Stegostoma tigrinum: one gene and its partner. The protein of the gene in region 1 interacts with the protein of each later gene in a pairwise test. Links are inferred from orthologs where the notes say so. Each region holds a gene or a part of one and is shown on either strand. Other genes may lie near its edges.

What was found.
Region 2: the proteins of morn4 (region 1) and septin6 interact in binary tests that used the Homo sapiens proteins (3 or more experiments, as listed by UniProt). The two-hybrid records come from large-scale screens. The link is inferred for Stegostoma tigrinum from reciprocal best matches to the Homo sapiens genes MORN4 and SEPTIN6.

The regions. Positions count from the first base shown.
Region 1 is NC_081373.1:12,101,993-12,109,831, forward strand, and holds the start of morn4 (MORN repeat-containing protein 4), read left to right. Parts: upstream 1-4,827; 5' UTR 4,828-4,941; intron 4,942-7,839. UniProt on the Homo sapiens protein: Plays a role in promoting axonal degeneration following neuronal injury by toxic insult or trauma.
Region 2 is NC_081368.1:16,026,845-16,034,239, reverse strand, and holds the start of septin6 (septin-6), read left to right. Parts: upstream 1-4,297; 5' UTR 4,298-4,805; coding exon 4,806-4,892; intron 4,893-7,395. UniProt on the Homo sapiens protein: Filament-forming cytoskeletal GTPase. Required for normal organization of the actin cytoskeleton. Involved in cytokinesis. May play a role in HCV RNA replication.

The DNA of each region.
Region 1 (7,839 bases):
CATGACGGGCTAAGGGGTGACCTTGTAGAGGCGTATAAAATAATGAGGGGCATGGATAGGGTACATAGACAAAGTCTTTTCCTTGGGGTGGGTGAGTCCAAAACTGGACAGCATAGGTTTAAGGTGACAGGGGAAATATATAAAAGGGACCTAAAGGGCAACTTTTTCACACAGAGGTAGGTGCGTGTTTGGAATGAGCTGCCAGAGGAAGTGGTGGATGCCGGTACAATTACAACATTTAAAAGACATCTGGATGGGTGTAAGAATCGGAAGGGTTCATTGTATTACGATGGAACTCATTCCAACACAAAGACCTGGGATGTCTCAAAGTCTGAAACAACAGAATGTATTTTAGGCTAACATACCACCATATTCAAAAATAAGATAACAAGGTGTAGATCTGGATGAACACAGCAGGTCAGGCAGCATCAGAGGAGCAGGAAGGCTGATGTTTCAGATCTGGACCCTTCTTCAGAAAAAATGCGTTTGGACTTGTAACAAGTGAAATAGATGAGACGGCCATGTTTGTTATTTGCGTTTAAAAATAACAGCAGAAGCTGTTCTGAATAAGAATAAGCACCTGATAGACAAATAACTTTACAAACAAGGTAATGAACAGTTATATATTGAAAGTGAGAGAAGGACTATCTCCCAACCTGTTCTGATTTTAAGTTAATCTGAGATAAAATGAAGAACTGTAGATGCTGAAGATCTGAAACAAATTGCTGGAGAAACCCAAGAGGTGTGAAGACAAAGCAGAGTCAACATTTTGAGTCCAATGACCCTGCTTCAGAACTGGGTCAAAAGATACTGCCAGACCTGTGATTTTCTTCAGCAATTTCTGTTCCTGCTTCAAAATCATCTGAGATCTGGGCTCCTGACAATTCAATGCAAGAACCCATGCAGCTTGCTGAGAATCTCTGTTTTTACATGACCTTCACTCTAATTATCAGCTCATCTAACAAACATAAAAACTACATGTAAGCTGTGAAGTCTGAGAAGCCTGTTCGGACATAGAATCTCTACAGTGCGGAATCATGCCATCTGGCCCATCAATCCACATTGACCTTCCAAAGAGCAGCCCACCCAGACCCACCCCGTACCCGATCCCTGTAATCCTGCATTTTCCACGGCTAATCCATCTAGAAAGGTATGATGGCTAAACATTATTCGTCTGTCACAAGCAGTTGACTCCTTGACTACAGAAATATTCAGATGCCTCAGATCCTTGAATTGTGGCACTAATAACTGCAGCCCTGGTGTACTTCGATGTAGACAACACTGAGGATGAGCGCAGTATGCAGAGACTGTACTAGGGTCTGGCCTGCAAAACTATTTCACTCTTGCACCTCGTCATGAGTGAGAATAAAGAATCAGTGATGTTTCCACACATCTCAGTCATCTCTGTAGGGAAAGCCCTTTTGTCTTCATCAGGTTTTCAAGGGGGCATGCAGCCATTCAAAGCTGAGAGGTGTATAGTGTTCATTTCACATGTTCAATCTTCCTCATTATACCATGCACTTTCTTTGGCAGAAAAAAAAAATTTCTTCTCATAATTCAAAGTTGTCCTACAAGATGCTCAAGCACTTCAGGTCAACTTTTCAATCTGGATGTACGTTGAACATTGAAGGATTACTTGAGGACAGAAAGGTCAGAAGAAAATTTCTCAGAGTTCCTCCCATTATATAATGACAGAATTCACTGTGCAGATATGATATGCTGACTTAAGAGCCACCTAACTTTAGTGCCATGTGATGTTACTCTCTGTCTTTTCCCTAACAGTCAATACAACATGTAATGTGACTTGATACTTGAAAGTGGCTTCACCTGAAGAGAGCAAGTATACAATCAGAATGAAAATAAGACATTTAGCGAGCACAAGAAAAGCTCAAGGATTGCAACAGGATCCACACATCCTTTGCGTTAGGCAGGGGTTGTTTCCCAGATTAATGGGAATCATCAAACCCTGCTTATTCGTCCTGGGTTCACACACTCAGAGATGCACTGCTCTGTCTTGCTGACTGAGGTGGGTCTCCTTATAAATGTCCAGAACCACATCCTCATCTTCCTCTTCAAAAGATTGCTGTTGATCTCTTATTTCCTCTGCATCATGGACATTCCTGTGTTTTTCGGCTCCAGTATGCCACAATGACGCAAGACACCTTCAAGACTATACTGAAAAGCCAACAGACAGTCCAAGCAGCAAGATTGCATTTCAAGGAAACTACAGTCTGCTGCTGGTGAGATGTCAGCAGCACTGTCTGCATCAGTCTCAGGGTTGTGTAAAGGTGTCATGAGCCATGTTTGGAGGGGAAACCCTTGTCTCCCAACAATTATTGCCTGGTATGGAGGGAAGGTCTTACGAGGAAAGGCTGAGAGACTTGAGGCTGTTTTCATTAAGAAGGTTGAGAGGTGACTTAATTGAGACATATAAGATAATCAGAGGGTTAGATAGGGTGGATAGGGAGAGCCCTTTTCCTAGGATGGTGACGGCGAGCACGAGGGGGCATAGCTTTAAATTGAGGGGTGAAAGATATAGGACAGATGTCAGAGGTGGTTTCTTTACTCAGAGAGTAGTAAGGGTATGGAACGCTTTGCCTGCAACGGTAGTAGATTCACCAACTTTAGGTACATTTAAGTCGTCATTGGATAAGCATATGGACGTACATGGAATAGTGTAGTTTAGATGGGCTTGAGATTGGTATGACAGGTCAGCACAACATCGAGGGCCGAAGGGCCTGTAATGTGCTGTAATGTCCTATGTTCTGTGTTAATTACCACTGTAAGGTTAAAGGACATTCAAAGGAAGCAGAAACTTCTGAATTCTCTGTGCATTTGAGTCACAGCATTCCCAGAATATCTGGCTTGGACCTCCCAGATTCAGTGTTGATGGCGACGTATAATTTGAGCATTTAAAGAGTGGAAACCTTTTCTGTTGATGAACCTTGCCAGTTGGTGCGATTATGCTCTCAAAGCAAAGGGGCCATCTGGGGCAAGTCAGTGATGCTAAAGAATCCCACTACCCAGGGTGTTTGACTTTTCTAGTCATTGGGGAAGGACACAAACAACTGTGATCTGAAGAAAATAGCATCAGTTATATCCTGGATGTATCATGGATTGAGGATTGGAAGATACCACATTAATCCCCAGTTGCTTCTTGAAACGAGCTACTGGAATAAAAATTCAAGGCAGCTATGAACTTGCTGACAGGATTTGTGACAGGATTTCCACCAAGTCCTGTTCCAGCAGATGACACAGTTCAGTGATAATGATCCAGACAGTTGAAAAGAATGTAATAGGGTTGGCTCACCCATTTGCTTGAAGCACATGCAGTGTGTTTGCCGCATAGACTGTTGCCAAATGCTGGAGGTGTGTTGCTGACGTAGCTAACTGTCAAATGCTCCCTATTTTGACAAGCTTCTTGCCTCTGCCTCTGTGCTAAACAGCAATGAAGCCACAAAGTCTAGCAGCGCCTAAGTAAGCACAAAGTGAGTGAACACTAAAAAAGCAAGCAAAGAGCCTTAAGATGCATTGAGTGCAGATGCGTGTGTTTCCAGGTGCACAAAGCGGTCTGGCAGAAGCACAGAAGTTGTAGTTTTGCCTTAGCTCCAAAGGCAAGTGTTGATGTAATAAGAGAGTTGTTCCGTAAGCAGCCATGAATAGGTGGTGTGGCTGGTGTTCTTGTTTACATGAAAATATATTCTTTATTCATAAATTATTTATAAGTAAATTACAAAACAGTTCAAGCCAATATTACAGAAAATACAATGAAAATATCACATTTCTCAGTCAAGAACTTTGCACTCTTCGTTGTCTCAAAACAACTAAAAATTGGAAAACATTTATCAAATATGACCAGAAACTATGTACATTTCAATACAAGATATGAGGGTTTCTAGAAGCTAATAGACACTTGTACATGGAATGGCTGTTTCTTTTTCATTTCAGAACTATACTTTGTTCATTAAAAATTTTTTGCATAAATACAATTCGGTTCTGTACAGTAGCATATCAAGGGAACAAACAAACATTGGAGTTTGACTATGCAAACCACCCAAGACCTCGGTAACATACATAATACTACATTTACATGCATTTAGGCACCAGAAGGGTCTGATAACTGAACAGACTCCCACTTAACTTCAGCTGGAAGATATGGAGTGGCTGGTGGGTTAGTGATGTCAACTTGTATGGGCAAAGGGGCTGAGGATGATGGTGGTCATGGAGCATGCAGGGATGTTCTGCTGCATACGCAACTGAATAATGGAAGCAAGCAGTGAAGTGGCTTGTTTCATTTTAAATTACTGAGACTGGGCAGATCTGTGTACACAAAGCCAAAAAGGCTGTTAAAACTCAGCAGGTCTGGCAGTAGTTGAAAAAATGTGTGGCTGGAGGAGCACTGCAGGTCAGACAAGCAGCATCTAGGGATACAGAAACAGAGCTAACGCTTCGAGCTCAATCACCCTCCATCAGGAAACAACTCAAGAACTTTGCTTGAGCAATCAAAATAATCATTCACAAAAAAAACTCACAGGGCCACTCCATATGCCCCGCTCAGACATGGACGCCTTCAGATAATTGCATCGTTTTAAGAACAAAACCGAATTGTAGGCATCACCGTTTCGCCAGCGTATTGTACAAATTAAAATAACTTAAAATCTGCATAAATCCCCGGCTCTGTGCACCGATAAATGACATATTTACAATACATAAATGCTGCTTCTGCCCCTCACAGAGATGGCAGCCAGCCGCCTCAAGGCCGTTGCCAAGGGTAACGGAGCCAGTGGTGGGGAGGACACCAATGAAGGAGCGCGTTGTTGAGGGGTGTGGGGTCTGTGTCAGGAGGACATGTCTGACTCAGGCAGGGCCTGGGAGCTGAATATTCATCAATTTAAACCTGGCTCCCTGTTGCATGATCCACAGGCTGTTTAGCACTACAGGGTGAGTAGGCACTTTTTTTAAAAAAAGCTTTAAAAGAGTCCATTTTCAGCATCAGTGTTTCTTTTTGTTATTCTTTTCTGTCCCCCCCCCCCCCCCCCGAATTTGAATTCTCAGCTGGTAGGCCATTCAGATTTTTTCCTCCTGTACGTTATTGCTAAGTCCAAATTTATACTTGATTCACTTATTTCTACATCTGTGTTTTTAGTTTAAAAATAAGGACACTAGGCGTTTGCTGTTTGAGGGGATGTAAGTTGCCCATTTTTGATGAGCGAGATTGGATAATGAATGTTTGTTAGATATTTGGCTATGTAGGGCAGTGTATTATAAGCCTGATCATGTTCCTGACCAGACGTGTGCGTTCAAGTATTGACTTTCCAGAACAACCAATGAAAAGAAGTGATTTCTGCCTTCCCCCTTCTCCCACCTATTTTAATTCAGTGATGCTGAGGTCAGTTTCTCCCTAATCTCAGACCAGGGATGGAGGATGGCATCTTCCTTCTGTGCATATTCTGAGGTACCAATTGAGAGCCGGTGTATAGTTCTTTTCACTTCTGAGGTAAGTTTTTGGGTGCAATGCCAAATCTAGAGATCTGCGTATATAATATGAAAGATTATGTTACCAATGCCATACAGAGGGAGTGTTGTGATATTAGAGGTAACACCTTTCACATGTGACATTGAGAAGTAGAGCCAAGATGTCCTCAGCGGGTGTAAAAGATCCCATTCCACCAATTTACTCGAGCAGGGGAGTGTTCCCTGGTGCGCTGAGTCAATATTTATCCCTTCACCAACACCTAAAGCAAATGATCTAGATATTATCACTTTGTTTGTAAGAGCTTGCAGTGTGCTTTTGGCTGCCATGATTCACAACAATGACTACACTTCTAAATGGTATCACGTTGGCTGTGAAGCATTTAGTTATTCTGAAAGATGCCATAGCATCACAAGTTATTTTTCTAGTTGCTATGTGTAGTGGAATTGCATAAAGTTTGTTGACTGTTGTATTTAGTGATAAGAATGATTTGTTTTACCCACCCTTCCACCTCACGTTGTGTTGGCTGGTGAGTCTATAGATCTTCCAACGTTTGCTTTTAAAAGCTGTGTTGCAAAACAAAAGTCTTTGACATCCAGTCACCACAGTAGATGTTCCTTGTGATAGTATAGCCTAAGACTCTGAACAGTGCTGCATCATTGGCAGAGTTCTTTAGTTCAGTTTGCTTATCCTGGGAGCCAGAAAGAAAGACTTGCATTTATGCAGCACTTTTCACCACCCTGAAGGTACTGAAAGTACTTTGCAGCCAAGAAAGTACTTTTTGAACTTTGTGATGTAGAATTGTGATTGAAGAGTGTCTTCACGATCATTCAGCACTGAATTGTCTTTTGAGATACTTACGTTTTTAAAATTCATTCAGAATGTCAGAATTGCTGGCAAGGCCAACATTAATTGTTTATTTCCTTAAGTTATCTTCTCAAATGTAAATTAACAGCCATATATGCTGCCAGACCTGGGGTTATCCAGCACTTTATGTTTGTACTTGTATAGTGCTTTTGACATAACAAGGCATTCCAAAGAATTTCACAGCATTTTTAGAACAAAATATTCTGAGCCACATGAGAAAATATTTCCCAGAGAGAGAAATTTTAGGACATTTCTTAACATGTTATATACAGAAGGAGACAAATCAGGTGGCAAGTTAAAGAGGTTTAAGGAGGGAAATCCAAAACCTGGAGTCTTGGAAACTGGAAGGTGTGATCATCAACCATCTAGTGATTTTAAAGTTAGGGATACTTGTGGCCGAATTTGAGGAGCATAGATATTTTGGAAATAAATAGGCCACACCAGGTAAAGGCAGCTGGTTTCCTTCCTTAAAGGACATTAGGGAACCTCTTTTATTTTTTAACAACAGTCCCATAGTTTCCTGATCATCACAACTGAGATAATCTTGTTATTCCAGAATTTGAATGAATTCAATTCTGATTTGCAGTGATGGGATTTGAACTTGTGTCTCTGGATTAGTAGTCTGGGATTCTGTTAAGTTGTTCCCTGAACAGATTGAAGCATTCTGCCAAATGACTGACATGGCTAGAACTTTCTGACAAGCACCAAGATATCACCTGGCCACTGAGAAGGGCACTGCCTGTGAGATCCTTCATGTATGCCCAGACTCTGCACCACCACACGCTGCCCTCAAACTGGCTGCCGGGTGTTGGGTTGGGGGTAGAGACTGTCAGATATCTCCTTCTGGAACATGTTTTTACAAAGGAAATCTGGAGAAACATGCAGTAGTTTTTGTCAAGGTTCATCCTGAGCAGCTCTATGATGAAGGACTCTGTGTTCTACAGTCTGCTCCCTGGGACGCACAGAGATAAACAACGATTGCACCTGGAAGACTATCGATTTGGTGAAAGATGCTCTTTCATCTGCTTGAGACTTGCTAGCCCTTCCAGAGCAAGGAGTTGACCCTGAGCGAGTGTTGCAGACTATACGTTCCAAGGTCTCCGACTGTGTGCTGATGGATGCACAAAAGCTTTGGGCAGCTACCGCCAATGTGCCATGGGGAATCACCATTGTCTAAAGGATTTCTGTTAAAGTTAAGTGGGGGTCCATATGGTTGTAGGACCCTCCAGATGCCTCAAGTATATATAAATATAGTCTTGTACAAGTATGACGTGCCTTTGGGTTGTTTGTTGGATAGAGTCAAACTCCAATGTTTGTTTGTTTCTTCATGTGAACCAAACTGCTTCAGTGATTATGTATGTGCATAACAATATTTTTTGAATAAAGTATATTATTGAAACAAAAAGTGTCTGGGTTTCAGTGGGTTACCATTCCTTTAAGTATTTTGTGTGCTTCCTTCCTGGCCACTAGAACCAGATCTTTGAGTTACTTATCCAAAT
Region 2 (7,395 bases), on another chromosome or scaffold:
AGGGTCACGCCTCAACCGCTGATACTCCAGGGAAAATAGCCCCAATCTATTCAGCTTCTCGCTACAGCTCAAACCCTCCAACTCTGGCAACATCCTCGAAAATCTTTTCTGCACCCTTTCAAGCTTGACAACATGTTTCTTATAGCAGGGTGACCCCAGAATTGAATACAGTAGACCAAAAGTGCCCTAACTAATGTCCGATACAAATGCAACATAACATGCACTGACTAATAAAGGCAAGTCTACAAAATGCTTTCTTCACACCCTTGTCTACCTGCAACTCCACTTTCAAGGAACTTGCACTTCAAGGTCTCTTTGTTCAGCAACACCCCCCAGGACCTTATCATTAAGTGTATTAGTCCTGCCCTGATTTACCTTTCCAAAATGCAGCACCTGACATTTACCTAAATTAAGCTCCATCTGCCATTCCTCAGCCCTTGTCCCATCTGATCAATGTCCCATTGTAATTTGATGTAACCTTCTTCTTTATCTACCAATGTTGGTGTCATCTGCAAATTTACTAACCATATCTCCTTTATATCATTTACATAAATGACAAAAAGTTGGGTACCCAGTTCTGATCCTTGCAGCACACCAGTGGTCACAGGCCTCCAGTCCAAAAAACTCTTCACCTCTACCCTTTGTCTCTTAACTTCAAGCCAATTTTGTTTTCAGATAGCTAGCTCTCCCTGGATTCTATGTAATCTGACATTGCTAATTAGTCTACCCTGCGAAACCTTGACGTCTATATCGACAATGTTCACTGCTATGGCTTCATCAATCTTCTTTGTGAGGTGTTGCATATTGCTAAGGCAAACCAGGTTATAGACTTAATGATAGGGTCCTGGCTGGTGTTGCTGAACAAAGAGACTTTGGTTTGCATGTCATGGATCCTTGAAGTCAGCAGGACAGATTAAGAATGATCATTAGAAGGCATATGGGATTCTTGCCTTCATTGGTCAAGGCATTGAATACAAGAGCATGTAGGCTATGATGGGGTTGTATATAATATTAATTAGGCCACAGCTGGTGTACTGTGTACAGCTCTGGGTGTCAAACCATCAGAGGGATGTAATTGCACTAGAAAAGGTGCAGAAGAACAAGAGGATGTTGCCTGGACAGGAACATGTAAAGTGACTAGATAACTGCATGGATTGTTTAATGTAGGGAATATAGGGGAAATATTTCTCCCTCCATAGAAGGGTCAATAACCAGGGAGCACAGTTTTAAGTTAAGGGGCATGAGGTTAGAGGGGATTTTAGGTTTTTCCACCCAAACGTAGTAGTTGTTTCATGTTGTTTGCCTGAAAAGTGCTAGAGGTGGGAAGCTTTAAGATATTTAAGAGCTATTTAGATGAACACTTGAAATGCCATATCTTACTAGATTATGGGTCAAGTGCTGACAAATGGAATTATTGTAGATGATTGTTTGATGACCAGCATAAATCAACATGGGCTGAAAGTCTTCCTTCCGTGCTGTGAAAACTCTATGACATTTAATTGAAATCAATGCCATAAATTTAAAACCTTTAACCTTTTTTTTTCACTGCCAACTTTCTCCCCACTTTCTGAAAGGATTATTTTCATTTGCTACCATACAGGTGCCAGCCCTGGACTTCATCATGGTATTTGTCAATGAAAGGCAGCATAATTGTTATTACCTTACCCAATATTTGTAGACACTTTATAGCACAGACTATGTTATGAAATGACTTCAAATACTCAAAGATCAAATAAATGATCCCATGTCCATCTATTTGGAATAGCAGAGAATAATTGATGAGGCAAACATTGGTGATCTTAGAACTTGAAAGTAAATTACACAGTCAATTGATATCGGTTAGTTCTAGTTCTGGGTATTGGTGTATATAAAGCAAATTGTATTGAGTGGGAACACTGAAACTAATTAGAAATTAGGCAACAGTTATATTGAAACTATCTGCCCCACACTCACTCTTAACCTGGTACACAGTCAATAAACCCTATTTATTTTGTACAGATAAGTTGCTGTGAGGTCAGGCACAAATTGCTTGCCTTCATTTGGTCTCCAATTCCTTAATGGCATTTCCACAATAATCCAAGCCTGAAGCTGCTGTATCACAATATAACAGCAGCAATTTGGTTGAACTGTTACATCCCCCAGCAGCTACATTTTCTCATTGTTGCTGAAGATGCTGACTTAGAATGGAATAGTATAGCCTTTATTGTCACAAGCATTTGGATGAATGCAGTGAAAAATTTGTAATGTTGTCACTCTGGTGCCATCTTAGGTACAGACTCTTAAGTGTTTGTTACAGAATTGAAAGAGTTTTTAAAAAAGTCTAGCATAGGAATACGAAGTATAAAAAGTACTCAAATTACTCAAAGTCCGGAATAAGAATGAAATTATCTTTAAAATGTGCTCAAATTACAGTCCTTTTCACTGAGTCTGTGCATGCTGTGCTTCAGAGTATGAAGCCTTGCTGCCTTTTGCATTGGCCTCCTGCCCAGAACCCGCCATCAGGACATATGCTGATGTATGGCTGTGGTAGTGCTAGTTGGTAGCGCTCTCAGTGAGAGTCATAAGGGTGTGGGCTCAAATCCCACTCCAGGATTGGAGCTTAAACTTCAAGGCTCCAAAGGAATACTGCATTACGAGAGGTGCCATCATTCAGATGAGATGTTAATCCTATCTATCCTTTCAGCTGGATATAAAAGATCAAACTGTACTGTTTGAGGAAGTGCCAGTGGAGTTATCCCTTGTGCCCATATTCATCTGTTCATCAGTATCAGAATAAAAATCTGGTCCTTTATCACAGTGCTGTTTAAGGGAGCTTTTTGTGTGCACATTAGCTGCTGTCTTTCCTACAATACAATGATGACATCACCAGAAAGTATGAACGCAGCAGGCAAGCTAAGGTCCCGGGCCTAGACCCTGCTTCAGAAAGATTTCTGAAGCAGGGTCTAGGCCCGAAATGTCAGCTTTCCTGCTCCTCTGATGCTGCTTGGCTTGCTGTGTTCATCCAGCTCTACACCTTGTTATTTCAAATGCTTTGCGATATGCAGTGGTGGTGAAACAACCTGGATAGGATTGTCTACATGCTACATAATTGCCTAGTCCCTGGTTCCTCCATTCACTACAATATTTCTGCTGTCACCTGAATAGCTAAACTTCACCCTCACCTCCATACTTAATGCCCAATAAAACCAGTGCTCGCTCTCAAACTGGCACTTCTGTGTTTCATATGGCCCTAATCTCCATTCCTCAAGCCCATGGGGAAAAGCCTTATAAAGATATAGTGGAAAATTATTTAGCTACCCACTGCCAGATCTGTTAGACCACAGAAAGCAGTATCAAGTTCTGTTGTCATCTGCTAAATCTGCTCACTGTTTCAGGATAATCCCAGTGTGCAAGGTAAACTCTTGAGACTAAGACCATCTTATAACATGTCTCTGTTACAGCATTGCTTTCAATTGCCCAACTCATAGATTCATAGAATCATGGCTTATACAGAACGGAAACAGACCCTTGGGTCCAACTCATCTGTTGCGACCAGATATCCTAAACTATGTAGACTCACTTGCCAGAATTTAGTTGGCCAAACTTTCTCATTGTTCTGGTCTAGAACTCACATCTTCTTGAGTTTTTCTTCCAGCCCTCTGTAAGGTCACCTTTTTCATCAGATCCATCCCGTGTTCCTTCAATGCCATTCTTATCAAACTGGGGGTCACCATCATCCCCTCCTAGTCGCCTTGTCAAATAATATTGTGAATGCGTATCTCTTTTTGCTGTCTCTCTCAAATTCTGCCATTTTCCACTCAAAAAGTGCCCTTGATTCAACCAGCCTTGCAAACTGTTGTTCTATCTTCAATCACCCCTTCTTCTCTGGTAAGAAATTAAATTAAGATTGTTCATATTTAAATAAAAGAGACGCATTTCTATAAAAAGGTAATAAAATACGCGCCTTATTGTGTCCAGTGGAAGGGTGAATCACCCGGTGACATATTGGATTAGTCACTGCTTACAGTAGGAGGTAAATGAAGTCGCGTCTAAATCTTTAGCGTGCGTCAATTCACTTAGACATTAAAGATTAGGTATCTTTGAAGTTAAACGTAGGTGCTAGTCGCTGTATTGCCCTGTGCATATATCACCCACTGAGTTTTGTGGGAGGAGAAGACAACTGACTTTTTAAAAAAAACTTGTAACGCACTGAGGTAACAATGACGCCGCCTTTACGACAGCAAAAATACTGGCTTTTCCGCACCTGCTCTACATCAACAGCATAATTTGCACAGCAATTCTTAAAAAGAAACGCATTGTTAAGAAAAATGCGCCAAGCGAATCGCTTCCTCGCAAATTTTTTTCAATTTGAAATTTGCGACTTATAATGTATAAATACCGTAGTTTTTAGAAGTTTAAAGCATTGGGAAATAACCATTTTAAGGCACTTGAATAAGTGTTTAAATAAAGCTGCAAGTGGGGGTTGTTTATGAAGGAACTACACTCAATCTCTTTAAACCGAGAAAATAACATTTCGTCAAATCAGAGCAAAAAATGATACTTCACGCTTCCGCTATTCTTGCAACAATGTGTCTAACGGGGGACGCTATCATTCTCGAAACAGGGGATACTGTCGACAAGCTGGTAAAATTTTGACGATACTGGGGAAGGCAACTGGTGGCTAAAAAGCAAATCGGGATTGTAAGGTGTGTGGCGTGCTGACAGCGAGTAAACAAGCGAACAAACCGTGTTTGTGGTGGACAGAGTCAGGCTGTAGCTGCCCTCATTCCCCACCCCCCCCTTTGAGCGCAGTGGTAGCGGCCAACATGTATCCAGTGCCTGTGGCTGGGGTCCGCGAGCTTCTTGTCACCAGCGGATCGACAATGGCGGCGGCTGAAGTAGCTCGGCAAATGGTGAGTGAGTAACTGCACACCCTCCACCTTCACTCTCATTCACAAATTTTTATTGCTAAACGCAGGGCTTGTTTTTGTTCAGCTGTTTGCACAGCGAGGCTGCGTTCTGTATTTTCATTTCGCCCCCACGCTGCTGGTCAGCTATTGTTCACTGAGACAAGTGTGGATGGGCGGGTGGGCAGAAAGGGGAAAATAAGCTGGGCGTTGGCTTCGTGGTCTTAAAATTAAAATTGCATCTAATTTAACTGTTTAAAATCTAAGAAGGCGATAAGGGGGAAGACAGACACGATTTCCTCATGCCTCCCTCCCGCCATTTTCAGCTCAGGTAGCTTAGACCCATTGTGGGTGGAGGGAACCCTTTCTCACTGGCTTCTTTTTAAATGTGCCACCTGCATTTTCAACTTTGGTTTTTTTTAAATTTATGGCTTTCCGATGATCAAATAACAGCTGGCTTGTGAACATCTGATGGTAACCATGACATGCCTAGAGTCAGAATGGGACAGCATGCAGTTCACGTAATATAACGGTTCATGTAGTTGATATATTTTACCTAAATATTAAACGGACGCAGTCTGAGCCCTGTGTTGTATTATTTCGCAGTCAGGCTCAGTACATTAATTAAAACACAGTTTTGCACACTGCGTATGCAGTAAACTACATGAATGAGATTAAGTAAGAGCCGAGAGTGCGCTGCAGATTAGATAAAATGCGTGCTTCAGGACTGAGGAAGGGAAGGGAAGGGGAGGGGAGGTCAGGGCTGACCTTAAAGAGGCTTTTAAAATCATGAGGGACGTGGATGCGGTGAATGGCCAAGCTGTTTTCCCCTTGGATGAGGGTGCCCAAAACCAGAGGTTTAAGGTGAGAGGAGAAGATTTTAAAAAGGACCTGAGGGGTAACTTTTTCACGCAAAGGGTGGTGCGTGTATGGAACGAGCTGTCAGAGGAAGTGGTGGAGGCGGGTACAATTGCAACATTTAAAAGGCATCTGGATGGGGTGTATGAATATACTGTATATGCATAGGATTGGGTTTCAAGGGATGTGGGCCAAATGCTGGCAAGCGGGACTAGGTCAGATTGGGATGCCTGGTTGGTGCAGACAAGTTGAACCAAGGGGACTGTTTCTGTGCTCTGAGACTAACAAATAATGTGCACAAAGATATTGAGGCATTGTAGTTTAAAGCATCTTCTGAATTGTTAGATTGGAAGGGTAGTTATAATATAGTAAAGTCTAGCTTTTTATATCAATTAAAATAAACAGCTATGCTGTCAAAATTTTAAGATTTAACAGAATAATGCAAATTGAACTGGAGTGATTTATGCTGTTACTTCACAGCATGTTCTGGTAGAATGGTGAATCCTCTCAATAGGAGTTATAGTGTGTCATTCACTCTTGGCTTGCCATTCACATTCAATTTTTGTAAATTTGAGATTGCCCAAAACTTTGGCACCTTTGCCTTATGCCCATTGTATTAAGTCCCATTCACCCACTGTCCCAATGTGTTCACTGGTCCACATTGGTTTTTGGTTAAGTTGTATCTCATTGTCACTTTCAAATTTTTCCATGTTCTTCCCTTTCCTATCTCTCTATTCTGCTCTAGTTTTCACAACTAATCTTGCCTTTAATCAATACAACAAACCAGAGATGCTCGGGCCCTGCAGAAGTCAGTCCTTTGAATTACACAGCTTCAGGAAAGGACAATCGACATGAACCATTAACTCTGATTCTGTCCACAGATGCTTCCAGACCCGCTGAGTTTTTCCAGCAATTTCTATTTTTGTTTCTGATTTAAAGCATCCCACAGTTCTTTCAGTTTTCAATCCCTATTTTAATTACTCCTCTCTTGGTAACCTTGCCCTTTGTTACATGGGCCACATGTTCCAAAATTCTCTCCTGGTGCCTCTTTCCAACCTTGAGATATTACTTGAAATGTACCTTTTTAACCAAGGTTTTGGTTGTGTTCCTTAATATCTCTACGTGATATCACTCATGTCGTTTTGTAATGTTCCTGTTAAGCACCTTGGGCCATTTCATTATGTTAAAGACAATATAAATCCCAAGTCAATAGATGTGAAGCTGGAAAAGCACAGCAGGTCAGACAGCATCTGAGGAGCAGGAATGTCAGCGTTTCGTCAGAAACATTGACTTTCTTGCTTCTCCGATGCTGTCTGACCCGTGCTTTTCCAGCTTCTCATATATTGATTCTGGCTTCCAGCATCTGCAGTCCTTACTTGTCTCTAAGTCATAAATCCCAGGATGTGTTTTTTAAAGCTGATGGCTTTAAAATTAGTGGTAAATCACACAATAGCAGCAAATATATTTAAAAGCATTTGCATATTGCTCTGCTGTCTAATTCAATCATTCTGTAATGGATCTCACCCACTTGAACCTCTAGTGCCATCAACTTTGCTGCTTGTTAATAACTCAAAGCCTAAGCCAGAGTTGAACCAAGTGTGGAGCTGGATGAACACAACAGGCCAAGTAGTATCAGAGATAATGGGAACTG